2 linked regions of the Caenorhabditis elegans genome follow. The protein of the gene in region 1 interacts with the protein of each later gene in a biochemical or structural test. Each region holds a gene or a part of one and is shown on either strand. Other genes may lie near its edges. The genes, in order: flp-5 and egl-6.

What was found.
Region 2: the proteins of flp-5 (region 1) and egl-6 interact in a test that uses a peptide from one of them, tested with the Caenorhabditis elegans proteins (one large-scale study listed by BioGRID).

The regions. Positions count from the first base shown.
Region 1 is NC_003284.9:8,519,758-8,536,285, forward strand, and holds flp-5 (GAKFIRF-amide), read left to right. Parts: upstream 1-8,563; 5' UTR 8,564-8,564; coding exon 8,565-8,644; intron 8,645-10,274; coding exon 10,275-10,398; intron 10,399-11,008; coding exon 11,009-11,083; 3' UTR 11,084-11,276; downstream 11,277-16,528. Other genes in the region: C03G5.14 (Serpentine Receptor, class BC (Class B-like)), read left to right, coding at 2,157-2,279, 2,686-2,860, 3,011-3,144; nspc-1 (Nematode Specific Peptide family, group C), read right to left, coding at 14,970-15,272, 15,319-15,321; nspc-2 (Nematode Specific Peptide family, group C), read left to right, coding at 15,712-15,714, 15,760-16,062. UniProt on the Caenorhabditis elegans protein: FMRFamides and FMRFamide-like peptides are neuropeptides. GAKFIRF-amide has an excitatory effect on dissected pharyngeal myogenic muscle system.
Region 2 is NC_003284.9:5,924,852-5,940,661, reverse strand, and holds egl-6 (G-protein coupled receptors family 1 profile domain-containing protein), read right to left. Parts: upstream 8,077-15,810; 5' UTR 7,895-8,076; coding exon 7,716-7,894; intron 7,664-7,715; coding exon 7,550-7,663; intron 7,503-7,549; coding exon 7,426-7,502; intron 7,375-7,425; coding exon 7,208-7,374; intron 7,157-7,207; coding exon 6,821-7,156; intron 6,719-6,820; coding exon 6,496-6,718; intron 6,387-6,495; coding exon 6,295-6,386; 3' UTR 6,130-6,294; downstream 1-6,129. Other genes in the region: acs-17 (long-chain-fatty-acid--CoA ligase), read left to right, coding at 1-116, 165-249, 309-566, 808-955, 1,158-1,927, 1,988-2,260, 2,551-2,702; C46F4.3 (EB domain-containing protein), read right to left, coding at 3,113-3,177, 3,935-4,102, 4,444-4,596, 4,810-4,885.

The sequences.
Region 1 (16,528 bases):
TGAAGTTTTTTGTAACTCTGAGTGGTCTAAAAAAAACAAATCAATGAGTAACATTGTTAAAATTCTATTATGTCTAGAGAAAAGTTAACACTACATAGTTCTTTTATCACAGGTGTGCCCTTTAATAATTTGTTAAGAGAACAAAAAAGTATAAAAAATGATTCATTACCAGTATCATATTTTGTGAGTTTATCGGAATTCGCAAACTTTGAGATGCTTGCCAACTCCTCTGATGAAACTTTTTTGTATTATTTGAGTCAGTTTACGTAAGCACATATGTAGTATGGTTAGTGTGCAGTTTTCCCAACTGGCAATACTGTCACTACAGCGCAAGATTTTTTCGAGCTAATTTTTTTTGATTGAATGATTTTAAACAATTAAAAACATCTGTAATAATACCGAAAAACATTAAAGTAGAGAAAAGAATCTACGAAACAGATAAAAATGTAGTAATACTAGGGCAAAGGCACAGATTTGGCCCGCTAAGTCTCATTAATTGAATTGTCTAGGGACTCGGGACTCAGGCTCCGAATCCCAAAATTTTCCCAAACAAAGCTCACAGTGGGATCGCTCGAAACTAGACGCTAACAATTGATTTCATCAGACAAATGACATTTCGGAAAATGGAACAAACACGACGCAAAAAAAAAACTAACATCCTTTTATTTGTGTCAATTCCAATAGATATGAGTCGGAATATTCTCAGAGCAAAATAACTACAAATAGAACAATAGATGTGTCTTGGTCTAGTTTTCAAATGCAAAGACATGACTCATTTTGTCGTAGAAATACACGGAAAAAAATCAGCCACCATGGTCACATTTTACGAGGCCATTTATTTGGAGAAGGGCACCATATCGGATTACACGAAAAATCATGAATCGGTTTTTTTTTGGTAGACTTTGTGCAAACCAGAATTGAATTAATAAATTAAACTCAACCATTATGATTAAATCACCGGATCATTTTAAAAAAACGTTCGTCAAAACCTACAAAGTTTAATTCTAAAAACCACGCAGGTACTTTCGCAAACTGGAATGTTTTCTCAGTGGAATGTGTGCAATTTTATAGCTTAATGAAATTATAAGGATGTTTCATTCTGTATGTGAAATGTGTTCTTTCGCATTAAAAAGACGATTAAAAAAATGCTAAGGAGCTGTGCGGAGTGAGAGAGGGTTTTTCGTAGTCAGAATTGGTGTAGGCCACCAATTAATTGAACGTCCAACGAAATAGTTCTCAAAGTCTGAAAATATAAATCACAAACAAATAGTATTTAAAAACCTACATTTAAAAAAACAAAAAAAAATTCTAAAATTTAATTGCACAGTTGGATTGTTTTTTCTTCAAATTTTATTTTATTACAATCTATTGTGTTTTTTGGAGTTAGCTTTTCAACAAGTCATTAAGTACAAGTAATAACGCTTAATATTTTCACTAGAAATGATTTTGTCAATCTTTTTTTCAATGCGTCGATTCATATTTGCATTCCAGAAACTAAGTATGTTTCAGATAGTTCAGCGCTTTGATATTACTTCCACCACGGGCATAAGAAAGTTGTTTCTTCTTTCAGTTACTTTTTGTGCATTCCAATTTCCGGCCAACCGATCTACTGCATGCCCCATTTCGGAAGCAGTGCTCATTAATTTCTTTAGGAGCAGAGGGTACGGACAGCTTTTCTTCATTTCTTGAAAAGGTTTCAGAACCTCATCTTTTCATATTCACACCAGCTTTTGTGGTGGTCTTAACCTTTACACTCTTGAATCTGATATTTGAAGTTGTAGTATTTCTGAAAAATCAAAAAAAAAACTATATAATGTTTTTACAATACTTGAGTTTGTAATGCTCAGACAATGTTTTTTTAGAAATAAAAAATTGACAAAATAAAGTATTGTTGAAAATTTTTTAATAGTTAGTAACGTCGACATCGTCTCAGGTGGCATCAGCATTTATATACAACTTTTGTTTTTCAATTATTTTATAATCTTGTTTTTACCATATTTTCCGATGACACATTTTTTAGAATTTCAAGCTAAAAATACCAGGTAAAATAAATTCATGTAATAAATTGCTGCTACACTCTGTTTTATTTCTGGTTATTTTGCACTTGATTATTAGATTTTTCAATAAAAAGTTAACAAACAAACTTTTACAGTGCAATGCCTAAGAAAACTATTCATATGATCTCAACCAAGAAATTTCACCCACTGGCGTTGACACTGATTATCTACACAATCTCGGATCTCGTTTATTCGTTTACAATGGGAATATCAGCATTTACCGTAATTTTAATGTGTTCTAGTTTTTTTTCTGTAGAGTTTCAGCAAGAAGATGTGTCATTTAAGAATTGTTTTGTAAAAACGTAAAACAAAATTTTAAAAGCACTCATATTGTATTCCTTGGTCTCACCACGATATTGAGCACATTGATTACTAATATACACTAATTTGATGGATGCAACAGATTTTGCGCAGTTTTTTTTGCAACACATACTCTAAAAGTGTTTAAAAACTCCAAAATTTACTCCAAAAGTGTTTAAAAATTTGCAAACTATTTCCACCATTACTTGTATCGTCAGCTAAAGAACATTCATTAATTTCTAATTTTATGAATAATATTACTCGAAAGTCTGAAACTGCAAGCTTACTTCAAGTTCTGATTCTGAAATATTCAAGCCAACTGTTTTAGGCATTCGGTGTCTGGTCAAACTTTTACTATCCACTCCTCCACTCGGGAATCGTCTCGTTTTCAGTCCTCTCTGTATATTTTATTGCATACAGTAACATCAAACTTGCCCTTGCTCTTCATGGCTTGATAAAAATATTTATTTTTTCTTGGACAATGCATACTCTGTGCAATCTAGGTATGTCCGTTTTAGAGTTTGATATATAAAGCGTTCTCAGTTTGCTATCAGAATAAATGTATTTGATGAATCCAGATTGATGAATATTTTTGATGAATAGTTAAATTTAATAGATATTCAGTTGTTAAAAATGTTGTCTTTTCGTTGCAGATTTGTATCAAATCAAAGAGCAGGACACGGTTGTTGCTTCAATCTACTATGTGCTAACGTTTATTTTCGAAATGACAGCATTCTTTGTTATTAACAAAATGAATATCCCTTTCTTTTCGGTAATTTTATGGTAGTTTACCGAGTAGAGACATTCAAATTTTAGGAGGACAATTTTCTGGATCACGTGGGAATGGATAATGATAACCAGGTAATGGTCACATTGTGTTGATGTAAAAGAACAAGAAAATACAAAAAAGAAAGCAAGATCTTTTAATCAAAGTCCAAGATTTGTTTCTTCATGAAATCTGTGGAAGTTGTTGGTTAAAGTACAACCCAGACCACGAGGGACTTGAGTTATCTCGTCATTTAATTTTGTTTGATTTTCCGGTAGTTATGTATGTAAACATCAGAATATTCCATTTGTCTGTAGCTCATAATGATGCTGATAATAAATTTGTTATGCACTAATGACGAAAGCTAATGATTATTTTATCGTCTATTATTTTTCGCATCTTTCAACTTCCTGGTATCTTGTTTTCTAAAATTATATTTTCATATTTTCTCGTTGCTGCCAAAAGTCCTGAAAACTAGCAGTTACCGCGATTGCTGCCAGAAATGAGAAATTTCAAAAAATGAAGTTCCTAAAGTTAAAGTTGCAGAAAATAAAGAGTTTTACTTTTTGAAGAATTTGGAGCGCGTGTATTTTGTGGAAATATGTACTTCAGACCTCAAAAAGTTAATATTTTCTTTAAACTTACTAGAGAAACAAAACAACTTAAACGTTTATGGATTGTTCAGAACAAGAGCTAGAGACTAATCCAAGATTGTAGGAAAGGTAATGAGAACATCTGGACTTTCAGTGATTTCATTTTTTTGTCAAAGGTTACAGAGGACAGCAATGATCCCCGAATAATCCTAATCTCAATTGTTCTTTTGAGATTTTTGTTACATGTTCTACTGCGAAGATAATGTATACGTAAGTACCAAAAATTTGTAATTTTGTCTCTTTTCTGAAAGCTGCCATTGTATCGACTTTGATCTGAAACCTGACCCCATTTCATCATAGAAAATGGGCTCAAATGCCAACTGAGGAAATATCTAACCAATTCAATATAGACATCAATAGAGTCAAAGCAAATTGTTTCAAAATCCCGGATGTGTATGATTGACACAATAATCAAATCCATAGCATGGTGGAAACAATTTTGCAGACAACTAAAGTTTAGTTTCAAAAAGATTACAAGTGACGTGACAAACAGTGCTAAATTAACCTAATATAAAACAAATATCTTATAATGTTATAAATCAAAACTCGTTCAATTTTTACCTTGTTCTGTTATGAAATGTCATGTTTTTTGTGCAGGCTTGTGCCATTCCACAATACTCTAACAGAAGACTGAAACTGTTTTGCTTTTGAACTTGAAGTGTTTTTAGCGTTTTCTGATGTGTTTGGTCAATTTAGCACAGTATGAAAAGTTTGAGCAATTTCGGAACCTGATGATTTGTTATCTTCTATGATTTGACATTAAAAACAACTTTCTTTAGAATTTTCTCAACTTTATTCATAACCATTCCATTTTCATGTTTCTTTCAAGCCTTTTTAATTCAATGAATAAATTAAGTTATTACCTGGACACCTCAGTGCTATTTTTTCATTAAGATTTTGACATGTATTCGATTAAAATATGATTCCAAAAACTATAATTCGACACATTTTCACAATAGAGAAACAATGTGCATAAAAATTAGTTTTAGATATGCTAATTTCAGATAGAAAGCTGCAATCCGCGCGGTTAAAGTTGCTCAAACAAAATTTTTCAATCTGTCAATTTCGATTTAAACCTAAAACAGTTGAAAGAGTATAGAATTTGAAAAAAAATAATCCTAATGATAAAGTACAACAAACCAATTCAAGTTAGTAGGAAAAACTGTTTGAACCGAATGTTGCCCATTTTATGTTATTTATGTATGTAAACCAGACAAAACTGGGTACATTTCGGAAAAAGGCAGTTGCAAAATTGTATTTGTATATAAAAACAGTGATGACGTTATTTTTGTTCCTAACTTTTCAACTTGTAGCAAATATCGTAGTATCACGAAAGAAGGTATCAGAAAAAGATCAGTTTGATAGTAACTTGAGAAGTCTCGTTATATTCGACATTTTAAAGCCAGTTCAAATTTATTCAGACAAACTTCCGATACGTTAATTTTTTAGGCCGAATTTGTCGCCGATCTGTTACAAATATATATTTTACAGAGTTGTTTATTGACTGAACAATTAGGCCAGCAGTAAATTATTTTTCGGCCAATTCGTAAACTGCCAATATAATACTTTTTAATGATAGTTCTAGATATCAAGTTTTCCAGTTCCTTTTTTAATATCTGAAACCGACATAAATCGCGTAACTTCCTAAATAAAATCATCAACAAAGAAGTTACATATGTCTCGCCGTTCAATTAACTGTTATTCACATATTATCCATGTTCCAACTTATTGAGTTTGTGTTTCTATCTGAGAGGAGAAACGATATCAAAGATTATTGGAAAAATACGCATTTTTCAGCTGTTCTCTTTCTGAGGGTGGTTGGTTTTTGAGGTCATTGTTTTGAAAATGAGAACTCATGAGACATCAGCTAGCACTTTCAATTGGAATTTGGGGAGACGGATTACCCTTTTGTCTTAATTGATCAAAAGTGACAACATTGAAAACGTGAAAATCAGAATCTTTGATCTTTGTTTTCCAGATCTTACAGATGAGCTTTGACTTTATTTCGACATAAAGGTTTTTGTTTATTAATAAACAAACTATAGAGGAATTGACTTAAATTTTGAAATATCGTGTTACCACTTTTAAATGTGTACGTTTTGCAACCTTATTGTCATCCAATTTTTCCTTTACACATTTATATGCAGCTTATACACTTGTGTGTTGCTTCCTCCCACATCCTAAAAACGGCGCTGGGGGGTGATTAGATTTCAACAAAACGTCAGAACCCTCTGCATTCGCCCCCACTTGAAAAGTTCAAACAACAGGAAACGTTTCATCGTCATTCGCAGCGCCTTCTGAATTTTAAAATGCAAATGTTCGCCCTCTCCTCTGCGAAATTATTAAAAACTTCACCCATTTGTCTTAGGATTTTTTTTGATTGGCAAAGAGTTTGTGCTTCAATCTGAAATACAGAGAAATGTGTGATTACGTAAATTCTCGATTGACATTCAAATAATATCACCTGCATTTCCAGAGTGGAGTATTGAGATCTGAACATTTTCTCGTGTGAAATTGGATTCAAATATCTGAACTTTTGTTTGAAATATCAACTAGAAGCATCAACTCTTCAGATAGTGTTTCAAAAAAAGGGATGTATTGTGTTACAAGACATTTTCTTTCCGGTGGCATTTTTTGCTGAATCAACTCCTTTGATCTGAGGAACACAGATGAATCAAGTAACTTGACCATTTTGCAGCAAACTGATATTTGAGAGCTTGGTGAAGACAATAGTAAATGGTTTTTCTACTACGTTGATTTAATTTGCTCCATGTGAATGTTATTTTGATGAAGTTAGAGTGACAATAGCTTCAATAGGTTTCACTTTATTGCAAATTTCTATGCACAAATATTTGCAGGAAACTTCAATCTTCGGATTTTGACTGAAAGTTTCAGATGTAAAAAAATCTAAAAACTACTAAATTATTACAATAAAAACTTGTTAATTTTAAGCGATTTCCATCTCAAATCTCTGCACCTGTCAATGTAAAAAAGAAACACTTCAATCTAAAATTGATACAAAATCTCCGGAATATGTTTTTTAATAGGAAATGAAAAAACCATTGATTTCCGCAGATTTCGGGAAGTGATGACATTTATCTGTGTAATATGACCATTGAAATGTGGGTGTACCAAATTTGTAAACTTTGATGACAGTATAAATAAAGATCGTGAACACAATAAAACAACTCTTGGAAAGTAATATTGAACACAAAAAGTACAGATGATATGGCCAATTGGTACACTTCTGCATTATTTTAGTACTCTTAATCAAGACTGAAAGAGGGTAACAAAAATTGGTTCTGTTGTGTTTTAGTATTGAATAAACCTTTTTGAAAACAAACTTCTTTAAGAAAATGAAACATGATCTTAAAATTCACACATGTCGTAAAGAAAGTCATCGAGCAAAAGTTCAAATACAAAGTTCGCGTAAAAATTCAATATGCTGAAAATTCTAGGCTTTACGGTTTGTTTGCTCGCCCGTAGACTTTTTCATTCCCGTAGCTTCCAGTTTTAATTAAAACTTTTTTGTGGGCCAAAACGGACACGTCATGTCAGGCCCCGCCGTTTCCTCCTCCGACATGTCAAATCGGTCATTCAACACTGACATTTTGCAGTTTTCGGAGAATCTCCCATTTACTACGGAGAACGCGCCGCCTAGAAACAGAATAGTTCAGTTTTTTAACTTTAGTTTAGTTGTTTTTTTTTGTGGTATCTAAGAAAAAAGAAGCAATGTGGGCTTGAAACGGGTGGATCTGAAATGAATCTTGCAATTGATATTGTTTCTTGTGTATATTATGGAAAACGGAAATGAGAATTCGGCAAGTGAACACAATACAAAACTCTCATTTTGAAGTAAAACCGGTACATGAGCACTTTTATCGGTTCGTGGAAATTATGAATTGGTACATAAACAAAATTTATAGTTGATCGTCGGAGTGTTTTTTGGGAATAGCGTTACATCGATTTGCAAGTTTTCTAAAAACCAAAGTTGATGCTCTATGACGTACTAAAACAATCACTAGAAGTCTATTTGAAATTTGAAAGGTTTCTGATTAATTTTTTGTTCTGATTTTCGTATTATTATTTTTCTCCCAATTGATAGTGACCCTGGTTCGAAAACAAATAATCCTACTCTATTATTTGTTTTCAATCAGCTTTTCGGCTTCTGACTCCATTTCTATTATCAAACTCTGGGTTAAGTCGTTAGTTTTCCGGTACCCCTTCTATTCCCCCAGAGGCTTACTAGATCGTTTACTTTTCAATCTCCACGGGGTTAAATGGGAAACATAGAGGGCATTCCGTTTTGCAAAAAGAGCTTGTTAAAGTTGAAGTCTGGAAGGAAGTACCTAAAAGTACCTAAAAAAGCTTTTGGGTCGTGTGACGAATTGCGCAGAGAATTCAGAAATCTGCTGGAGGATTCTTTTTATATTTTTGATCGCCAATATAGACGAGCTAATTCATCAAATTATGTCATGCAACTTTGACGCAAGTTATCAAAAGCATATTGCTATTTTCTGTTGTAGTAGACATGTTGATATCTTCATTTCTCCAATTATCTTCTCTTCCTACTATAATAACAACTCTTTTAGATAAAGTCTCTTCCCAAAAATAACAACTACAGTTTCAATTTACTCCTTATTTCCCATCATCTCTAGTTCAGCTCCCAACCGCTCCACATAATAGTAGAGATGGGGCGGAGCCAGTTGGCAAGCCATGCGCAGCGTCCCCGCCTTTCAGCTTCCACGACAGCACCCGCCTTTTACGAAACAGTCATTCCTCGCAACTATGAGCAGCCGAAGCACCACGATTGCTTTCCTCTTCATCGCCACCCTTCTTGTCTTCCAATGTGTTTCCGCTCAATCAAGGTAGGTTAATTTGATGTCTAGGGTTCAGGTGCTGTGATGAGCCAATTGTTAAACCCCAACTGATCAAAACTGGCCATTTGTTCTTGATTGTGATCATTGCTTCGGCTATTGAGACTATCATGGACTTCCTAAAAAGAAAAGGCGCTAGGACTTAAAGTAAAATTATTAAAAGGATTTTAAAAAAGGCTGACATAAATTACCAACTCAGACAGAAAAAAAAACACAAAAAACCAAAACTCTAACGGTGCGTGAAGGTCTAGATTGAAACAACAACGGAACCTATTAAAGTCGTAGGTACAAGCAAATTATCTTTTTCAGAAAAACTAAATACTAATACAGAAATAGTTTCAATATCCAAATTAAATCATCGTTGTACAGCTAATTGCTCAAAAGTGACGCATTTTTCATCATGCACTTTATTTCATCATCATTTTCGTAATTTTCTAATTATACAAAGATGCAATGGCGTGATTAACACACATACTAGATTCTGTTCGTTTTCTTCGGCATTTCACTTTACTACTAGCATCTTGTGCGCTTCCTACGAACTTATACCCCGGTCTCCTCCCTTTTTTTCATTCTCATGAGCATCGTAATGTGACGTGAGTTTATTCTTTTTGGGGGATCCCATCTTGTCTGTTGGACTCTTGGTGTCGGATGAAGCGGAAATATCAATCAGCCATTCAAATTCAATTGCGAGTACTAGGAGGCGCGCTTTTTGCTTATTCGCTTTGCATTCGATGCTTCCGGTGAGATGCACTTTGACCCATTCTTTCCATACTATTGTTTAAAAAATTGGAACAACTTTGTTGGGAGGCCAGAGTCTTCAGCAAGGAAAAAATAGAGATGACGTTATAAACAAAGAATGGAAGTGTTCAATGACAATATCTTTTTGAAATTACTTTTCGAAATACTCAGATTTTTAAACTGTTTGTTTTGTTTTAAAGCTTGGAATTTCCCATTCAGAACATTGAATTCCAAGCATTGAAAACAAAAACAAAAGTATGTCAAACAATAAAATAGTTGAGGACTAGTCTCTAACCTAATAGAAAAGCGAGGGTGGAATTCATAAAATTAGCTTCTTTGACCTTCAATGTAACACAAATTAGCATTCCGTTCTCGATTTATCCCGCTTCTTTAATATCAGGCAACTTTGAAACTTCCCTGTTTCATTCTTAGAAAGTCACTGGAGGGATCAGAGCACTCACAAAACATGTCTCCTTCAAAAAGTTGCCACCACTTTTTTGCTCTAGTCGTTCAATACAATTGGTAAATGAAGCGTTTAATTTTGCACTTGGCGTGCTAACATGACGCATGTGCTCATTGAGTTTGGAAAAGTAAAGTAGTTGGTTAAGCGACAAAAAGGAAAATGTGGTAACCTTCTTATCTTTTCATTTTTCAATTATTTTTGAACAATTATATGCAGAAATGTAGGTCGTGGTGAACCGAAACACAATATTAAAAATATGATAAATGGTGGTAATTAAAATAGACACATTTTCAATATTGACGTGTGAAATACGTAAGAAAAAAGACAGGAAAGGTTCTATGACATTTTAAAAAAATAAAACAACGGTCTCTTTGTTCACAAATATGGACTTTTCAATCTAATAACACCGAATATTTTCAGTGCCGAAGACGCGGACTACCTTGAAAAATACCAAAGAATAGCACGAGCACCAAAGCCAAAATTCATCCGATTCGGTCGTGCAGGAGCCAAGTTTATCAGATTTGGGCGATCAAGGAACACTTGGGTTAGTATTTCAAGAAAATAATTTTTTCAGTGAATCACTGCATAAGTCGAAAACCAAGGTTCTGAAAAGCTTGTTTCCTTGTGTTTGTTGTACACATAGCTTAAGCTGCTACCATTGTAGAAAATCCTATTCGACCCCCTTATTACGTATGCAAATTATATTCTGAAAATCTTGATTTTTATCTGTTTTGATATTTGCTGAGTCTAGAGATTTTTTTGTAATGCTGGGGAGCACCTTAAAAAAATTGTTCTAGTCGTATATGAACATTTACAAATTTCGACTAATAAGTATATGATGAGACTAATAAAGGATAAACGATGCCTGTCATTTCCAGCGAAGACGGAATACTTTTAAGTCACAAGAAAAACGTCAGAATTTCATGAAAGATCGACGTGACTGAGTACACACTGCATTACAAGCTATTAGCTTTCTGAAATATTAAAAACCCCGCTCCCCCACTATCTTTACAAACGGAATACATATATGAAAATATCACGCTAAAAAGCACTATGTCATATGCCAACACATGGATATGAGTAATGACGCATCCGAAACGTCAACTTCTCATGTATACTAACCATTATGCCATCATCATTTATTGAATTTTCAGGAAGATGGATACGCCTCACCATCGGTCAACGAGCTCTACGTTAAACGTGGAGCCAAATTCATCCGATTCGGCTAATTAGGAACAATCAACTCGTGTCGAATCACTGCTCCTACGTTGTCTAACTGCATAGTGTTTCTTAAAAAGTCCCCACCTGAAATATACCCTTTCACTCATTTATTTGTCCTCCTATTTTTTTCGAACTGTTGTGCGAACTGATATTCTTTGTGTTTTCCATTTCGACGCCTTCTCAAATGAAAAACGTTGCGTTAAATTATTATGTTTCAAAATTTTTGAATAACAAGTATCCATAATCCATGATCTTAAAAAAACAATAAGAAACACGTAAACAATTCATTATAAAATATGGACTTAATTAGACGTCTCACCTAAATATGTTTCCAAAAATTGTGTGCGTTCTTTTTTTTAATCGAAATATTAACTAAATACTGCAATCTAGTCAATCAAATGACATGTCAATGTTTGAATGTGGTTTGAAATTTTATGCCAAGGAATCAACACAATTGAACAATCATTTCATTTTGTATTACTATTGCATGTGTCAAAAATACTTAAAAACTTATTTTTGTTTAAATCTCCATACACATATCTAATCTTCAAAACTTACGATCATCCCAATTTGGTTTTTAGAAAGTGGTGGCAGTATAGATGTTATTTGAAATGTTTTTTCGTTTACTAATTTTTTTTGGCTTTGGTAGCCTTGAGTTCTACAGAAAATTGAAAAGTTGGTTAGAACAGAGGTTTCAAAAATAATTTATTTTCGAATTTTGGTTACAGCTAGCACCTCCCTGTCTTCTATTACGGTTTCACACTTTGAGTTCAATAGTTCTGTTTCTTTAAAAAATAACTTTTTTTGAGCTCAGAAATTCAGAACTTCTTATAAACAAAACAATGACGATTATGGAAGAAGGATAGGGAAGTGGTGACAAACGTGCCCGTCTAAATTTTAAAACACCCTCTCAGGACACTAGACAATAGAATTGATGAGATGTGCTTAGACACTTATCCGCGTCTTTGAGCAAAGATGACATGTATTTTTATGAGGGAATGTAGGATGCCTTACAATTATTATTAAGTCTTCAGCGTTACACGCCTGGAACGATCGAACAACACATAACTTGTATTTATTTTCGCAGCGACTATGCTATTCCCGGAGAAGTCTTTTAATTCTATTCCGTGAAAACTGAAAAATAACGGTTGATATTCTCTCTCATAGGCAGAGAGCTTCCATGAACTTGTCATTTTCAATGCATGAACCTTACGATTTGCTATTTTAATCCAAAATTTAGGTACCCCACGCAGCTCAGTTTCAACCCATTGAGATTGACACGTCACAAGACATGGCAGTTTATTTGGTATCTCGGAGTGCTTGTGTTAGAAAGGGCACCTCATGAGTAGGCGGAAAGATTTGGAACGCACTCATGTAAAGAATTTAAAAATCACGCACAGCGTAAAAAATTTAATCAAGATTTTAGGTGACGTTGACTGCGACCAGTCATGCAGAAACTTCATCAACTCTTTCAGACCTAAAAACATAAACGGACACAAAAAAGTCGTTTGATTTGTGGGTGATAACTAACTATTTTAACTATTCAATCAGTGGACACATTGAGAATAATACTGGAAATAAATTAGAGAGTGACAAATATTTTATGGCCACGTGAAGGTGGGTAAAACACAAAGATGCTGGGATATGATATCATGACTAGGCTTGCAGTCTTGCAGTCATACAACAAGTGGGAGTAATAATAATTTGATTTATTTGGGAACACTCATCAACTCTTGTAAAATTGAGATAAATAAAACAAAACCAGAAATAAATATTGAAGCAAAAAAAAAACACTAATAGGAAATTTCAAATATCATATATTATATAAAATGTTTCAATTTGTTGAACATTTCAAAACTGTACATCTAACAACTCAATAATACGCACGAATAGTAAGAGTACATTGCGACAAACGCCCATTTTTTTATAATTTGGAGAACTGTAAAACGCGTATGAGGCTAGAAGCTCTCGTAAATTTGGAGCAATTTCTGGAGATCATTGCAAAACTATGATATTCACGCTGATCAATGCACAATAGTTCATCTTACAAATTAGGTGTTTTGCTTGGAAATACAATTTATCAGGTATTGATGATATTTCATTACTGAATTGGTTTGGTGGATTGGACTCATCAAAATGTAATATGTTTAAAATTGTTTTTTCTTTGAAACAGAAAAAAGAAAAATGAATATATTTATTTTTTTTAACCTTTTTGAGAAAAAACATGGAAAAGGTCAAATTCTCTTATTTTCTACTGAAATGACCACAAAATAATTGTAGAAAATTTGTTTTGGAAAATTTCTTGTAAATGGTGGATCCTTTTTTACCTTTCGGGGTTTGGTGGACTGCCAATTTTGATCAAAATGTGTTTTTCCTTCCAGTTTTTAGTTTAGATCGTGCTCAAAACATTTATGTTCCGACAGTTTTTTGACAAGTGGCGCAAATTCAGTTTTCCCCTCATTTTGACTCAAACAAAATTATTATTTTATTTGGTCATTCTAGCATCATAAGAATAGTTTTCAATCACTTTCCCACTGGTCGTATTCCACCTTTAATTTACTTTTCGTGATATTAGTTTTCCGGATTTTAAACACTTTAAAAAGATTGCTGCAAGCGAATAGTTTATATTATAACTATAACTAATTATTATCATATATATTATAACTGGCTGTACACATTTTTTCGAAGTTTACGCGTTTTTATTTGGTGTTTGAAGTTTTCGTAAATTTATGGCAAACAAATAAATCTGTCAAATCTCAAAGTGCTTTTGCTTTTCACTTTATACATAATTTTTACCAACTTCAAAGTGACAACTTGTAATCAAAAAATCTGGCGAAACTTTCATTTCAATTTCTGTTCGAGGAAACAAGCAGAAACGACTAATTCCAACTTGAACATTTCCGTTTTTATAGAAATTTGGACGAATCCACAAACTTTATCTATCTTCGTCAACTACTGGAACGCGAAAAAAAACATTTATTTCATCAAAAGAATTATCATCGATTAAAAATATGCAGACTTCTATGCGCTATGTTTTGCAATTTTTATGCCAAGTTATGCGAATGCGAAATTTTTTCAGAAAATTCTGCCTATTCTAAATCGGGTGTTTTTTTCAGGACGGGGTGTATTTTTGGGACGCAGCGGATAGGGAACGACCCACTATGTTTGCACAGAAAGTACGTCATTTCTACTCTGCTCCCATTTCCAACTTGTGCTGTTTAAGTCCATTCTTCCATAACATGAGGTGACATTTCAAAAAGTCGGCGTCATTGCCGAAAAAGTAGTAATGGAAGTGCTTTTTTTGTCCATTTCAAATCACCAGAAAGGTTGCTCAACTTGACACAAACTGACAGAAATTGTAGCTTCCAAAAGTGAAAATGGAATAACAAATATACAAGATTCAAATTTAAATTTAATAAAAAACAACGAGTCGCTTAACAAATAAATAGTTTTTGCAAATAAATGCATTAGTATATGCCTTGCATTAAAAAATTTTGTCATTGGTCACAATAAAACATTTCCAGAAATGTTACTCCATCCTGTACAACTTTATATATTAAAACTTTTAGTATTTTTTGAAAGATTGAATGCCTCAATTTTTCAACAAAAAAACTTTGAGCAACCTTCTGCCTCTCTTTTCAATTAATCTGGTAGTTTGGAAATCCATTTGCATTGTTCAATGGATTTTGAAAAAGACAATATTTTATTGAATAAATCAGTTTAAACCATCAAAAATTTACAATAAACCAGATTTGTAAATTATAGATGTGATATAATGACCGGTAATCTCAGTCCCTTATTTCCTGGCATATTCCGAAATATTATAAAGAGAGATGGTTGTTTTGTATAAGATTTTATTAAATATGTGCCACAACTGAAGAAACGGATACATTTTTAAAGATTATTGTAGAGTTTGTTGCAACCACTTCTCTTGAATTCTTGAGTCTTCGCTGGTGTGGTTTTCAAGCAGCATCTGAAGTCAGGGTCGGTAGTGCAGGAACCATCGTAGACAGCAGCACAGTTATGAACACAGAGATTATAGCAAGTCTTGTTGGTATGAGTGGCAAAACTGATCCATGGAGAGCAGTATGCGTAGGATTCACCACCATTGACACCAGCACAGAATTCTTGACAGAGTTGCAAGGTGATGGAGCTGATGGCAGACACAAGGCAAAGTGCGACGAGGATGCGAAGGAACTGAAAGAGTATTTAATTATTGCATTCAAAGCAGAAAAAAACGTACCATGTTGAGGTATCAGTTGAATGCTGATGTTCTCCCAGCACTGCCAAAAGATTTTATAAATTTTGTTTCACAGTAGGAGTCAATTTTATTAAACTAGATGAAATCGTTCATGAACAGCACAGTAGGGAATCCAGACTCCAATTAAAATGTTCCAATATGTTGCGAGTTATTGAACGACAAACAAAAAAGTTCATGAACAAACTGTCAGCTTGTCTATTATTTAGACTTTTTTTGTTAAGTCATCCTACGCCCCAAAACTCGAAATCTAACAATTCTATTCACATACATCAGCTACCAAAATTTCTAATACTTATTGGATCCAGCTCAGAGAATTCGACTATAAATAATGTCCAGGAGATTCATAACTCATCAGCATTCAACTGATACATCAACATGGTAAGTCTTTTTTGCTTTGAATGCAATAATTAAATACTCTTTCAGTTCCTTCGCATCCTCGTCGCACTTTGCCTTGTTTCTGCTATCAGTACCATTACCTTGGAACTCTGTCAAGAATTCTGTGCTGGTGTCAACGGTGGTGAATCTTACGCATACTGCTCTCCATGGATCAGTTTCGCCACTCAAACCAACAAGACTTGCTATAATCTCTGTGTTCATAACTGTGCTGCTGTCTATGATGGTTCCTGCACTACCGACCCTGACTTCAGATGCTGCTTGAAAACCACTCCAGCTAAGACTCAAGAATTCAAGACTAGTGGCTGCAACAAGCTTTATAATAATCTGTAAGAAAAACCATTTGTCATCTTGATATATCATAATAAAACATTGCATCGGAAACATTATTCTTGAATGCTTATAAAAATTATTATTCAGTTGTTCTTGAAGTAGTAGTAGTGAATGTAATCTCATATAGTGTCAAACATAGTGACCGTAATTCCAGTATTAGTTGGATCCAATAAATATTAGGAATATTGGTTGACTGGTATTCATAAAAGCGCAGTAGAGAACAGTTATAATTAAAAAATCTGAACAATGACTTGTTGCGTGGGTGCTAACTTTACTGTAGTTATTTTCAAAAAAATTAAATTGTTTGAAACAAGTTAGTATATTGATATATTACTTCACAAGTTGTCTTCAGAATAAAAATAAAAATTTTCAATTACCGATATTAAATATGTATGTATCTAAAATATTTATTTATTTACATCAGAATTTGAGACGCTTGATGTTGTTTCAAAAACTAGATTTCACG
Region 2 (15,810 bases), 2.6 Mb from region 1:
CAAACGGAAAAATCTTTGAAAAATGGCAAATGGGAGACTATCACTGGAGAAGCTATGCTCAGGTTGACAAACGGGTTAATATGATTGCATCGGGTTTGACGAGCCTAGGGCAGCAGGTATTTCTTAAATTGAAGCTTTGCTTTAACAGTTATAAGTTTTTATAGGAGAAGGAGCCAATTATTCTTTTTGCCGAGACCAGAGAAGAATGGATGACAACTGCTTTGGCCTGCATGAAAATGAATTTTCCAAGTAAAAACAAATTTTATACCTTTTCTTATAATATTTCTTAAAATTAAATAAACTTTCAGTTGCAACAATGTATGCTACTCTTGGAGACGAAGCAGTTCAGTTTGCTATTAATGAAGTTGGAGCCAAGACCATCTTCACTTCGGAAGCTCTCATCTCGAAAGTCAAAAAGGCGATGAGCAACGGAGCCACATCCATCGAAAACATTATCTTCTTTGATAGTGTCGATCCAGCATCTCGTGGAGAGTCGGTCGATGTTGATCTTCCATTCACCCTTCTTTCTTTTGACCAGCTTCTCAGCCGCGGAGAGCGTGAGTATTGTATGTTGCTTGGGGGTGTTTTGTTTGTTAAAGTTTCAGTAATAACCGCCTGCAATCTCTTCTAGCCCCGACTTATTCTACGTTACCTACTGTTTCCCCAATGTCCTATGTTTTTCAACTAGAATCATCACTACATAGTAGAGTGTCTTCAGTCTAACAACCCGGGTTTGAACTGCAAGACTTATTATAAACTTTTACCAAAATAAACCAAATTAAATTAAAAATAATTTCTAATTTTCAGCTTACCCAGTACCAACTCGCAGTAAGAAAGATGATCTCGCCTTCATCATGTACACATCTGGAACTACTGGAAATCCGAAAGGAGTTATGATTTCTCATCAGAATATTGTTGCTGTTACCGCTGGACAAGCCTTCAACATCGTTCTCGGGTAATTTGTTATGGTGTAAAATAGAAGTTAGGTAGACTATTCCTGGACGTGCTCCCATTTGGCTTTAGTTTATGTTACTTCCGAGCTGTGGACGTTGGTTAGGGCTAGGAGGGGAGCAGGGCGTGAAATCGTGACCTCTAGATTTTTAGCTACCACCACTACCGACTGAAACTAAAATTAGTTAATTGGGTTTTGTTTTCAGACCAGATGACCGATATATCGGATATCTCCCTCTTGCTCACATTTTGGAAGTATGCGCAGAAATGGTCGTTTTCACTAAAGGAGTCCGCATTGGTTACTCATCAGCTCAGACCTTATTTGACAGAGCACCAAAAATTATGAAAGGAGAGCACGGAGACTGCTGGGTTCTTCAGCCAACTCTTATGGCTTGTGTCCCTGCTGTCATGGATCGCATCTTCAAAGCTGTCATCGATGAGGTTAACGCTAACAGTGAACTTTTCAAGCAACTCTTCAAAACTTGTTACGAAAGAAAACGGTCCCGTTATGAAGAAGGATATACTAGTTTTATTTTGAACAAGCTTGTTTTCAATAGAATCGGTAAACTTCTTGGAGGAAAAGTTCGACAAATTCTTTCTGGAGGAGCTCCATTGAGCCCAGAAACACAAAGATTCATGAACATTTGCTTCTGCTGTCCAGTTGTACAAGGATACGGGCTCACTGAAACCTGCGGAGGAGGAACTATTGCCGACATTCATGATTTGTCAACTGGAACTGTGGGACCACCGCTCACATGTTGCGAAATTCTGTTGCAAGAATGGGCAGAGGCTGGATACTCACCGAAAAATGATCCTCCACAAGGAGAAATTCTTATTAGTGGACCAAATGTTGCGTTGGGATATTTCAAAAATGACGAAAAAACCAAGGAAGAGTTTGTTAAAGTCAATGGAAAAACATTCTTCGCAACTGGAGATATTGGTGAATTCCGCGAAGATGGATCTCTCAAGATTATTGGTAAGTTTTCTAAAACATTCAACTTTTTTAAAATTAAAACATATTCAATTTGACCTTCAGACCGTAAGAAGGACTTGCTCAAATTGGCTCACGGTGAATATATTTCCCTCGGAAAAGTTGAAACTAATCTTTTGACTAATCCAAATGTTGACAACGTCTGCGTGTATGGTGATTCGAACAAAAGCTTCCTGGTTGCGTTGGTCGTTCCAAATCAAAAGAATCTAACTCAATTGGCCAGTAAAGCTGGTGCAAGCAATGATAACTTTGAGAAGCTCTGCGAAGATAAGAAGGTTGTAGAGGCATTGCAAAAGGAGTTGGCTCAATATGGAGCTTGTAAGTTTTAACGGAATTTTTTAAAGAAGGATTATGACCAGTGGGAAAATTTTTAAAAATCATTCCTATGATGCTGAGATGATCAGGAATCATAATAAAATTTTTCAAAGAACATTTTCGAGTTATTTTGAGAGTAAACTAAATTTTCATCAATTTCTGACAACATAAAAAAATTTCCAATATTTTTGAAAAATTTTGAATGAATTTTAATTATTTCCCATTGGCCCTATTCCACTTTTAAAATGCCAAAGATTCACGAATTTCTCCAAAATAAAAATCAATATTTTCAGCCAAACTTCAACGCGTCGAAATTCCACAAAAAATCTTTATTTGTCACGAGCCATGGACCCCAGCCTCCGGGCTTCTTACCGAAGCCTTGAAGCTCAAAAGAAAAAATATCGAGAAGGCCTTCCGCAAAGAACTTGATGAGCTTTATAAATAGAGCTTCATCTACTCACTGATCTTACCCTGTTTCTGCCATTCAAAACGCATTCTAAATACTTAATCTGTTTTGATGTAGTCTAGTATAGAATGTACAATATTCTCCTTTCATTTCTCTTTCACAGAAATCTTGCTCATTGTGTGCCTTCATTTCGCAGTTTAAATATTTTTATCACTCTTATTTTCCAAGAATCAAATCCTTTTTACCGAATCACAAATCGACGCGGTGGCCATATGTTTTAGGGTATTCTGATTTCCACGCTTTTAATGGAAAGAAATCTGCTCTTGTTTGTTTTTTTTTGTTCTTTTCAAAATTTAATTTGTGTATAACGTTCTCGACCTCCTATTATCATTATCTCATTCATTTTATTGATTCAATGCAAATAAACTTCTTTCAAAAAAATACATTGTTTAAGATGGAAATCGAAGAATCGACCTATGATTTGGAATGAATGCACGTGGAATGTGACGAAGAACTGAAAATAGAAGAAAAAGCATGGATGTTTTCGTACAAGCTTTGTTTGGATAAATGCGATTTTGTGTAATTCTAATTGCAAGCTCATTCATCTTTTATTTATAGAATTTATTTGGCGGAACCTCGATTTTGAAAGCAAAGTTCAGAAAATGAAGGATCTCACGGTTATTAAAAATTATTAAGCAATATGAGATATTTACATTTACTTTTTTTTTCAACTAGTTCACGAAATGCAAAATTGTCTTTGTGCGACAGTTCTGTTTGGCAACTTGTCACTTTGAGGCATTTTTTCAGGTTGGGTTAAATTTTTCCACACAAATAAGTCATATTTTCAAATCAACCATTTTTTTTTTTTGTTTCTGTAATATTTTTTATCGAAAAGTTGGTTTTACAACTGAAAAAAACAGCTTAGTTTGGTTACCGAACTGAATAGGCGAAAAATCATGTTACAGAGCTTCATTTTACTGATTTTCACTAATTGAAATTTGAATTTGCACAAAAGTTGCGAAATCGATTTGGTTTTTGTAAGCTGTCATAGAAAGTAAAAAAAGCTAAAATTGTTGAGAAAACACTTGCATTACTGAACGGGAAGAAAGGCTAAAAGATGTGCAATACTTATATTTAAAAAAACATTTTCGAATGCAATACTGATAGAAAATACCATTTATCATTTTAAATCTATTCGCCAGAGAACAACTGAGCACAATTCATTTTCGCTGTCTCTTTCATTACTCTTCCAGAAACAACCCAAATCTCACCATTCAAATTCCGAATACACTCCCCGAAAGACGGATTATAACCCTGTCTACATTTACAGGTGCCTTCAATGCACTTTGTCGACGGTCTGCAGACTCCTCCTTGACCGCACGGATGACCTGCTAAACCAATTGCTGGCAGATTTTCAGGCTTGTCATCGTGCAGGGATTCTGAAAAGACACTGCTCAGTTTTAGAGGGACTACAGGTGCCAAATTTTAATTATTCGTTTATTTAATATAGAAAATGAAATATATAAAACTTAAAGTTTTGAAGTACACAGAGGAAGCTAGGGTTAATAACAAAACATACAGTATTAAAGACTTTAATTCAAACTCCATTTCTCTAATTTTCAGCTGCTTTTTTCAAATTTAACCAGAATTTCCTGTTGTTTCTTTATTGTAATTGTTTGCATAGGAATATAAGTATCTTATTCTTAGTATTTCAATAACACTTTCACATGCACTACTCTTTCTTCAGATTAATCATTTTTCCAAACTAGTAAGCTCATACCAGATTCTTTAACTTTTGAATCATAAACTGATTGATCCACACATTGTCCGTCAAATTCTCTTTCCCCATCCACGCATAAACACAAAATATCAATGCAAATAGATCCACCCGAGCATATTCCTCCGAACAGGCACTCAGTTCCAGGAATTCCAACTGAAAACATAATATAAAAAATAAAACTTTGGAAATTGTTGGAACGAAAAAAAAGCATTTACCGGAAAACGTTAAGTTTTCTTGTTTTTTTGGTTTGTATATGAGTACTTGTATAGACTCTTCGGAGACCATGTTCACCAGATATCATAACCGAGAGCAAAACATATGTGTTCTCGACCACATTTATAAATTCAGAAATCATTCAAAACTTACGTTTACCTTCAACGCCATACACTTGTTTTGCAGAAACGGAAAGTAAGATTAGGAATTGATAAGTTGGAAGCATCATCTAAAAAAGATAAAACAATGGAACAAATCGGAATGTGTGAAGATACCCGAATGTTTGCAATTCGTTTCTTTGCCTCCCCCAGTCAACTGTCATTCGTGTTTGTTTTTCCATTTGCTCTTTTTTCTTTTTTCTTGTCAGTTTAATCAGCCCAAATTAGGATGAGCCCTGAAGTTTTGACAATGAAACAAAAAACAAAAGTTCAATCAGTTGGCTTTATAGATTGTTATATTTTTGTTGTAGAACGTTCTAGAATATTTTTTCCACAAAAAAGTCAGGGAAGTTTCAGGCTTCAAAAAAGAAGTAGCCGCAAGAATTGTATTTTTTTTTTGGTTTCATTAGTATTTGTTTCATGTTTACTCTAACTAGAAAACAGTGCAAATTATCTTCAGACCCAGCCACACTGATGTGAGTCAAATTTTTTTACGGGGGAATTTACATCTGAAACCCCCATCTGAAATCCTAGTTGTCGTTCGAAATTTTACTGTGCACTTTTTGCTAAACTCAAAGAATTGTATGAAAAAGTTCATATTACATTCTTTTTTTCATTGGTTATGTGGATAACGAGTTACTGTAACTCGTATCAATTCAGTGGCTGAAAAATATTTACCATTATTTTTTCAATTAATTGGGTTATTCAAGTAGTGTCGGAAAGTTTAGAAGCAGAGAAAAATTTTAATACAGTTGTCACGTCATTTCTCTATCCTTTTTAATTTTTCGACACTACTTGAATAACCCCATAAAAAAGCATTCCGGGATGTAGTAACTCATTGTCTACGTAAGTGACCCCAAAAACTTCTTATCGCTATACGTCTACGTATTAACTTCACTGACAGGAGAATACTTTTGAAGGTGTTCAGAAAATATTATTCTTTCCGTTTAAAAATTCCGCTAAGACTGTCTGTCAAGATATGAACACTTGAGACTTTTTGCAACAAAAAAAAACCAAACGCTTCAAAATACTGCAATTTTTATTGTTTTGATAGATTAAGAAGCGATTCAATTTGTTAGTGTAGCAGATAAATATGCTATTTTTTCTATTTAGAATTTAAAAAAATTAACAAGTATGCTGAAAAATTATATTTAAGGTTTTAGAAAACTTTTAAATTCTAAAGAAAATTGCTTTAAAAAAAGTCAATTAGACAAAATCATTGAACACTTATTTTTTCATAACTTTGATTTTTAACTTTGAAACTTCAGTTTTCCAACTTTTAAAAGCTGTTCAAATAGAGAAAACACACTATATTAGTAAAACAATACAAGTTTTATTCATTCTCGGAAGATTTCAAGATAAACAAGAATCACATTTTCAAACTTGTGACTTTCAAATTTTTCAGACGAATTGAAGTTCACAACGGGATAAATACAAAAATCAAGAATTATAGTTGAATTGAATAACTACGCAAAGGAGATTAAGACCCGACATATGAGCTTGGCGCAGTTCTATTTATCAGAAAAGTTCGTGGGGACTTTGTTTCGTCGTCATGTCGATGATTCCAACTTCCTGAAAAATTGTATTTTGAATTGAACTTTTTAGTCAGAAAAAATTGTGAGTAAAATGTAGTTATCTCAAGTAGATGATTCATCCTACAATTTTGTTTGAAAGTACTCACTTCGAGTTCCTCTTAAACTATTCTTTCTGGTCCATGGGAAGAATAGTGCTCGGAACGTGGAGAGATACTCATTGGACATGGTGCAATAGAGAACGAAGCTAACAGAGCTGTACAACAGCGTCAGCATTTCCATCAGATTTCCCACTGGATCGTAATACCGATTTCCGAACTCTTCACCGTAGATAGCCACGCACAAGTTAAGAATACCCATGGGTAGTTCTACCTGGAATCAGACATACGTTTCATGGTAATCATAGACAAAATAATATAAATAATCGTAACAATACAGCAATCACATACGATCAGACATTAAATAGTGACTAACCATTACACATAGGAGTAGAATGATGACGAGCATTCGTGTTGTGCGCGGTCTGGTCGTCAACTTTCTTTTTGCTTTTCTCTCGGAGTTGGTGCAAATGTTGGCACCTTGTGTACGCTTCCAGTTTTTACGCCTTCGTTCTACGCTTTTCAAAGATCTTATAAGAGCAATGAGTAGTATTGAGAGAATTAACGACGGAAGTAGTTTGAACACAATACCAAATGCCCAGAAAACTGCGGACACGAGAAGTGGACTCTCTTGATAACTGAGGTCGTACAATGGACCTTCCATTTCGCATTGCAAATCATAAGCAACGTGGTCACGAGCGACAATTTTAACCTGAAACATAGATGAAATCAGATTCGAGATATGAAGATTAACTACACAAACCTCGGATATGAAAAACAATGGAAGACTGATGATAGGAATGATGATCCAAATGATAACGTTTGCTGCGATTGCTGGCTGGCATTTATAGATGAATCTATTCGCTTGAATTGGAAACTTCAGTGCACAATACCGAAACACTGCGACAACGATCGTCGTTGTGAATGCAACTGAAAAGTATTTGAGTACAGTAATATGCTTGCCAATCTAAAAATACTTACTTGTATGAAATACTGTATTCAGGTTGACATTGAAGAATCTATATCTTGTAAATGCTTCGGACCATAATAATTGAACACTGCAAAAAACTGGAACATTGTTTTTTTTATTTGATGCATGACGTACCATTGATATCTATAATACTCAAGCAATAAGTAAAGGAAGTAATTGGTCGCTAGGAGCCATTGTGCAATGGAGAGACCTGTGAGCAGGATGTTTATTGGGGTTCGCATCCGTTTTCTGGAATAACAGGTACATTCATCCGTAAAAAATAAAGAAATATATAACTTACCTTGTGAGCACAATAATATTGAAGACGTTTGAAGCGGCTCCGAATATACAGATAGAAATTGAAAGAGGAATATGAATTTCATCGTAGTACTGCAAAAAGGACTTGTCAGTTATGGCTCGCGACGAGACATTTGTTGCATTTTCACGACCCGACAATCCGAGTTCCGTCCATTTCCCCATTTTTTCACTCTTTCACGTTTCGGAACGAGCCCGAATAGGGAAGCAAATATGGGAAAGCAAAAAAGATTCCGGTTCAAAATGCTGGAAAAGCTTCAAACGTCCATTCACAACCGGATTATCCCAGCGACAATCTCTAACAACGAGATAGCAGGAAAAATTGGACGACAAAATAAATATTCGTTCCAGTCAAAACGGAGTGGGAGGGAAAGGGGAAATCTAGTGAAATCAGTGTTGGAAGTTCCGCCCACTGTGTAGCGCGTGCCCCTGTCTATCAGCTAATTATTTTTCAAGTTGTGTGCATCGCGTGTCCCCCCAAATGACACCATACTGATTCACTGGTGCCCAGTCAGAAACACATAGATGAGTCTCTGAAAGACTAACTCGCAGTGTGAGGCCGTAAAACGGGTTTACGATCGGCTCCCAATAGAGTCTCGTACGCAACTAACACCCAAAGTACACGTGCAGAATTGCAGAATTATTTAGGTCATTTGAGGAATGGGACACTACTCCGAAAATGGGGAAAATGTTTGAAACTGTTCATATGCCGCTACATTAGGTCCTGATAGGTTTTGTTCCCCCAAAATGTTTTAATTTTCTAAAATTAAATTTTCCACCTTTCAAATTAAAAACAAAAACAAAAGTACGGAACAAAGCATTCGTTTCTCCAAATCGTTCCAAAAAAGTTCACGTTTTTGTGGTTAATTGTAACTTAGAAAATTAAAACATTTTGAGGGTAACAAAACCCATGAGTACCCTACAATAAATCATAATAGCAAACTTTTCGAGTCCAATTTGACAAAATTTTCCAAAATTTACATTCGGAGTTGCTTGAAATTTCTCAAACAGTCCAAACTTTTAGAAAACTTGACAATTTACCAAAACTTTGATTGAAATTTTTTGAAAAATCGGAGCATTTTTGAAGTGTTGCACGATTATATTTGACTATTATGAATGTGATTAAATAATATTCCCACTGATGATACTCCAACTTTGATAGTTTCACATAAGTGTTTAAACCAAGTGAAAATTATATTTTCGATGTAAATTTGTCTAGACAGTGACTTTTGTCCTATTATACAATTTGAAATTTCAAGGGTTCAAACTTTTGAGGTTGCTTAAAAAAAACGTCCATGCTTTTTGATAACTTGGTAATTCACCACAACTTTTACTGAATATTTTGAAAAATCTAAGAATGTTTGGAGTGTTTCACAATGATATTTGTTCATGTCAGACTATCATGATTGTAAATTCAAACCCCCCCCCCTCTTCACTGATGTTACTTTACTATTAATAGTGTTTATAAGTGCTTTAAAAACGTTCAATGTTCTTGAATATTCAAAATAGAATGTTGCTTCAACACATCTAATCTCATATCTTGAGACATTTTGCTCTCCGATTAGTGATAACAATTAATTTTTCCTAAACTGTTCTTTGGCAAATATCAAAATTGAAACAATGATCCTATGGCTTCTATCACAAATTTGCAATTTTTCCAAATTTCCAACGCGTCATCAAAACCACCTCCCGAGATTTTAATGCTTTGAACTCACCATGGCAAACATGTGGATATAGCATTCGAAGTATGTACAGATCAGTGTGTCATTCATTGCTGAAAAGCTGTCATTGTGTTCTATGATGTTCTCCATCTGCAACAAAAGACCTGTGTTGTTTTCAAAGTTATGCAGGGAGAAGAACAAGAAAACGTGAGGAAACGGAGGTGAAGGCAACAGAAAAAAGATCAGGAAAAACCTTTTGACGTTATATAAATTATTAAATCATGAGCATTATATAAAGATTTCTGGAGTATAGAAAGTTCCATACCTTAAATGAGTTCAAAATTCAAGAACAGTACGTAGAAATGATTAATGTCTAGTCTCGGGAACTTATATTCCCCTGGCACGGTCTACCGTCATATAAGGTTTTCGCAGTACATTCTGACAAATTTATTGTTGCAGAAAGAAAAAAAGAAAATTGAAAAAGACACGAACGCAGCTTGAGATAAATAATTTTCGAATCCGGTACACCGTCATTCTCCTACAAAATGAAGGAAGGTTGACTGAATAATTAAATTAATGTTTTCTTTCATGCTATTTTCAAGACAAAAGACAAACCCGGACACTGATCTGTCTATTTGTAAGTGACAAGTAGAATAATATATCAAGGAAAACAATGGACGAGGGATGAACATTTTAGTGTTTGTTTCAAATCACATTTCGAACTCGAGGCGACGTTTTAAATCTCCGCTACTTTGCTCTTTTGCACTCTGAATTTTTGATCATCAATGGAAATCTTACATCTTCAATATTTTCAAACGAAAAATCCAGCGGTCAGTTGAGAGTCTATGAATTTAAAAGTATTTTTCAATCGTCATAGTATAAAATTTTCCATTTTTGTGGAGGAATAAATTGCAAGACTTTTTGAGTTGAATTTTTGAGTTGGATATAACCATTTTTATCAACAGGAGCTGAAACTTTCAAAGTAAAATTTCAAAACAGTTAATGATAATGTAACAAACAAATACCTAATTATTCAATCAAACACTTTTTGTAAGTTTCGCAAAAATTGTTGTGAGCAAAACGACAAGAAAACGACATTAACCTCAAAAAAAACCTGTCAAATAATGCAAAAAAGTGTGATAGTTGAACGAAAACTAATTTGTGAAACTGAAAAGATGGCAAAAATTAAAGTGGTAGCTCAATTCAGCTGATTTTTTTCCGAAAAGTTAACCTGCTTTTAAAATTTTTGAAAATCTTTTTTAGAAGTTTCATTATTTAATTTGACCGTTTCAAGTCTTTTTAATCAAACATTTAGGCAGAACAAAAACCCACAAACAAAAGAGAAGCCTTAACGCTAGATAGATATTAACGACTGTTTCAAAAAAATCACAAAATAAAGTCTGAAGTCTTAAAAACGGTTTCAGTAACAAATAAAAAAGAATCAGCGAAAAAGTTAACTTTGGGAAAAAAATAATTCTTCGATGGTGACGCATAAAATAATACAATAATAGCATAGAATACGATTGGATATCTATTCTTCTTTATTTCAGCTTTCTATGTTGCCAGCTTTAAGAGGTTCCAGAAATCAGATATTTTCACTGAGTAATCCAATAGAAAACTATTATTTTCGCAGAAAATAAAAATGAAAAAAAAAAAAACTTTACAGCGAAAAATTGATTTTTAAAACGTTTGAAATTGCAATTTGTTGTTTTCTGCTACTGTCTTTCAAAACAATTAATATAGCATTGAAATGACAAGATGGGAGTGAAAAGCAATCATAAACAAAGACAAATGTGTCCGATGGATTACTGCGGAGTTGTGTTTCTTTCAGTTGCCAGTTGAAAAGTCAGAACATCATTAGAATCGAAATTCGGAAAGAAAAATGTACTTGATCGAATTTTTTAAAACAAAATTTAATGAAAGTGTGAACATCAATTAAAATGCGTGAGAATTGAGTAGGAGAGGAATTAATGGAATGGGAATAGAAAGTAGTAGCTCTAACTTGAAACCTTTCGGTCTCACACGGAACTGAAACTCTTTCCAAATTAGAAATTTACAAAGCGACGCAAAGACCTTTGATTTAAGTATTTATATTTTCTTTTGAAAACCAAAACAATAAAATTTGTGTACCCATGATGTGGGTACGATGTCTGATGGATTCTATCTAATATACGTCTACTAAATTGTTATTGTTTTCAGGAGCCGACTACATATTTCGGGATACTTTAGGGATTGTGTCAAACCCGGGGATGTGATTCTTGTCTTCTAAAACATTCTTGTAAAACAGAACAAAATCAGAATGATTCAGAAGTTTTGCATTATTACTCGATACCGTGCTCAAAAGTCTAGACAATAGAGATGAGTTCTTTCTCAATAAAATCACAAAACAAAAAATTTTGAAAACGAAATTCCTGGAAGGAAAGTTTTCATGGAAGGAACGCACCACTAGGGGAATAAAACACGTAACATAATCCCTTTAAAAATTTTCGATTATCAACTTCATTCTTTGAACTCAATTATAAGCTTGAAAAATGAACAACAAAAACCACAATTTTGCAAAATTGTTGACGATGAAGAGCCGAGTTAAAGTCTAAAGGGAATAAGAGTTAGCAACTATCATAGAGAAAAATTTCTTAAATCTTTTTTGGCTAAAATAACCCAAACATCGCAGTACATTTGTGAAAACATGAGTTCTTGATAGGCCTGTTAGGTAGGTCGAGATGGGTCGACCCGCATAATTTTCAGCTTTTACACGTGTTTTTCGACAAAAAATAAATGTATAAGTTTTTGACAATTGTTCTCAATTTTGAAAAACATGGGTCGGGGACGCGACCCCGACCCAAAATATGGGTCGGGGCTGCGATCGCCCGACCCGGCCGACCCAAAAAAATTGGGGCGACCCCACACCACAGGGCTAGTTCTTGCTAAACCTCGACTGGAGATTCTGAAAAAAAAGTCTTTCAAAAATTTTTCTAGAGGTTTCGTTGCAAACAACCAGTTTTTTTTCGAAGTTGACATAACATCTTAATAAGTACCGCAAATTTTAATATACATAAAAGAAAAAATTAATTTTTGAAAATTTTCTACTTTTTCAAATCTTCTCAACGGAAAAATAACCTCTTTCTCAAATTATAAAAAGTTTTTGTTGCAAATATTAATTTTTTCACGTATTTAAAAAAAACTTTGGTGATAGAAGCTGTAGAAATATTTGAAATTTGCCGAAAAATTAAAATGTTTTGAAATTTGACAAAGCAACAAAATTGTGAATGAAACATTTCAAATTCCTAAGTCGTTTGTAGCCACTAATAGGCACATGACGCCACTTTATTTTTACATGGAAAAGCCAAACAATCTGATTCATCAAACAATTCCTAACTGAGATTCCGGTGAAATGTTCGAGAAGATGTTCTAACGGAAAAATATAAATGAAAATTGAGATTTGTTGTTTCCGCACCACCAAAAAAATTGCGGAAAGATGAATCGTGCAGCTAAAAACATATTCATAATGCATAAGATCAGAAATTTTCATTTCGGGATAAAGAAATGAGCAAAATATTGTTGAGAAATCTAACAACGCAAAAAAAAAACGAAAATCGTCGTTCGTCTTATTTTCAAGTAGTGTTTTTGAGTTGAAGACAGACCTCTAGATTTTTGCATTTTTTGTTGAAATTTTGTTTCAAACAAAAAAGGATGAAATGTTGATCAAAGGGTTCAAAGAAAAATTTGATTTTCAAGTGTTTTCTTCCGGTTTTTTGGAAGGAGAATATCCATGAAATGTTCATTTGAAAATAGTGATAATCATGAAGCAAAAGACAGTATTTTCCAGAATGCATCAGCATCTTTCCTCCATTATTATGCATAGTCATTAAAATTATAAGGACTCTGTTCTCTCTGGAAATGTTGGGAGAAGTGCTAGCGTTTATGACTAAACATATAATATAAAATTTACAGAAGAATTGTAAAAGAAACAAATAACAGGTGAAAACTTAACATTTGAAGCTTGAACAAGTTTTCAAAATTCCTTAAACCCCCGTGAAAATTCGAAAAAAGTAGTTTTCACCTGCCGTATTTCTAGAAAATGTAAGTTAAAGTTCAATTATTATGTAAAGTTCAGCGTGGGCTAGCGAATCAGATTTTGAAAAATATCACACGTGAAAGTTACTGGATGTTTTTTCTGTAAAAATAAACCGCAGAAACCTGACATATGTCAGCTCGCAAAGAAGATAGAAAACAGGAAAAATCTCAGTGGTAAAATCTCAGACAAACACAACAAAATTTGATCCGCAACTTTTTTTGTGATGGGTGTCATTGTCTGAAAAAAATGCTTGTAATGTGAGTTGGGAAAAAAAAAAAGAAAAACATTAAAAACACCAACCGCTCATGAAAATTACATTTTTACTGGAATAAATAAAATTCAATTTGAATCCATTCGCGGAGAGGAACAGAAAAAACTCAACTGATCACACATTTTGAGTTAATAATATTTTTTATATTTTGCAGAGTGTTGTTTAGTATTTGATGACGGAGAATAGGTTATTATTATTAGAATGGTAAGAACACTTCATGGTGGTTAAAAATATCAATATTTAGTGCTTGGGGTACGTGCATTGCATAAAAGTTGAAGGGGTATAATTGATCATGATGTAATAATTGCAAAAGTTTATGACATTTAGACTGAAGAAGCGAGTTTCATTTTTGACTAAACTATGAAATTGTCAATTCATGGTCTGTTGGGATGGATTATCAAGCATTGTGAATTTACTAAATTCGAACAGATTAACATTATTTATTCTTGAAAAAAAATTGCTCGGTTTCGTTTGATTTCTGATAAAAAAGAGATTCCGAAAAAGGCTATGAATTTTTCTGAGATCTCTGGAATCACGAGACTAGTCACAAAAAGACAGAAAATTTTGAAAGATCAAAACTTTTAGAAAAAAGTAAAATTGTACTTGACAGTGAGGAGCTGGCTTATATACTCCTATACTAGTCTAACATGGCGAATAGTAATAGTGAAACTCTTTCAAAATACAAAGTTTTTTTTTTAATTTTGAACATTTTTCTGTCAAAGTTTTGATAAATGTTAAGTATTACAAAAATAAAGACTAGTTGAAAATTCGAGTTTGCTGCAAAATAAATAATTGTAGAAAAAAATTGTCATAGTTCCAAAAGTATGATAATTTTCACCGCCTTTTCACTGCTCATGAAAAATATTTCAAAATTTCTATTTGTTTTTTAAAATTTTACCGAGATATTCGGTCATTTAAGCAATATACGACTAGTTTGAAAAAATTCCCTGTGACGATACTTCACCTTTAACTAGAATATCTTAAATTCTGAGAAATCTTCAAAAATAACAAGATCTAAGAAGAAATGAAAAACAAACCATATAAAATATAAATATTTACAATTGTATTTTACGACATTCAATATGAAAAGTGTAATGTATTTTGATAGATTTTACTTTGTACCTTCTAATAACATGTCTGCTCAAGTACAATGAACTAAGTGAACCGATTGACTCGGCCACAATGCATCTAAACTGGCCCATTTCCGGTCATTCGGCTTTCATTCATGACTGTTTGCACACATTTAATCTGAACTCTAATGTTTTAATAATAAGCTGAGAAGACAATAATTGTTCAGAAATGTCAATTACACTAGGGGAGCACTGATGAACTATAAAAATGACTGAAACGCGTCGGAGGGAACAGGGAATGTTTGTGATGTGACAGTGTTTATTATTATGTATATATATAGTATTATGTAGTATTGAACATCGTAATCATGGCATGACAACTACAAATTTAAAATAAGTAGGAATTTACGTACGTGTTCATAGGATGATGGGCATCGTCACTCTAAATATCTGGACTTTGTAAGAAATGAGATGAGGAACAAAACAATCGAAGCAATAAAAGATGCGCTGCCACTCACAGCCGAAACTAAACTGAACTATCGCTCTTTCAAAAATTTGCGCATCATATCCTCTATGTAATTAGAAGCAGGCAGTAATCACATATTCTGGATCCTTCATTAAGCTTTACACAAGTTCCAAGAACTTTGTTTACTAGCACTCAGATACTATAAGCGAGTCACCGGAAAGCAGGAGGACCTTTGGTTTCTTAGCCTCGTCAAATTTAAGGTGCCAATTGTGGAAAAAAAATCGTGTGACCGAAAGAGTGAAATAAATTATGGCGAATTTAAAAGAAGAAGCCGCACAATATCTCACATTTTACATTTCCGTCGACGCGATTGGTTGGAAAAACGTGGGAGAGTAATGAAAATAGTTGAATGAAAAAGAAAACAAATGACTAACTAATAAATTAATACACATCATTTACCAGACAGATGTAAATATTGAAAAGAAACGGCATATGGTATGTATTTAAAAAATAATTGAATTTTAAAAAACAGGAGACA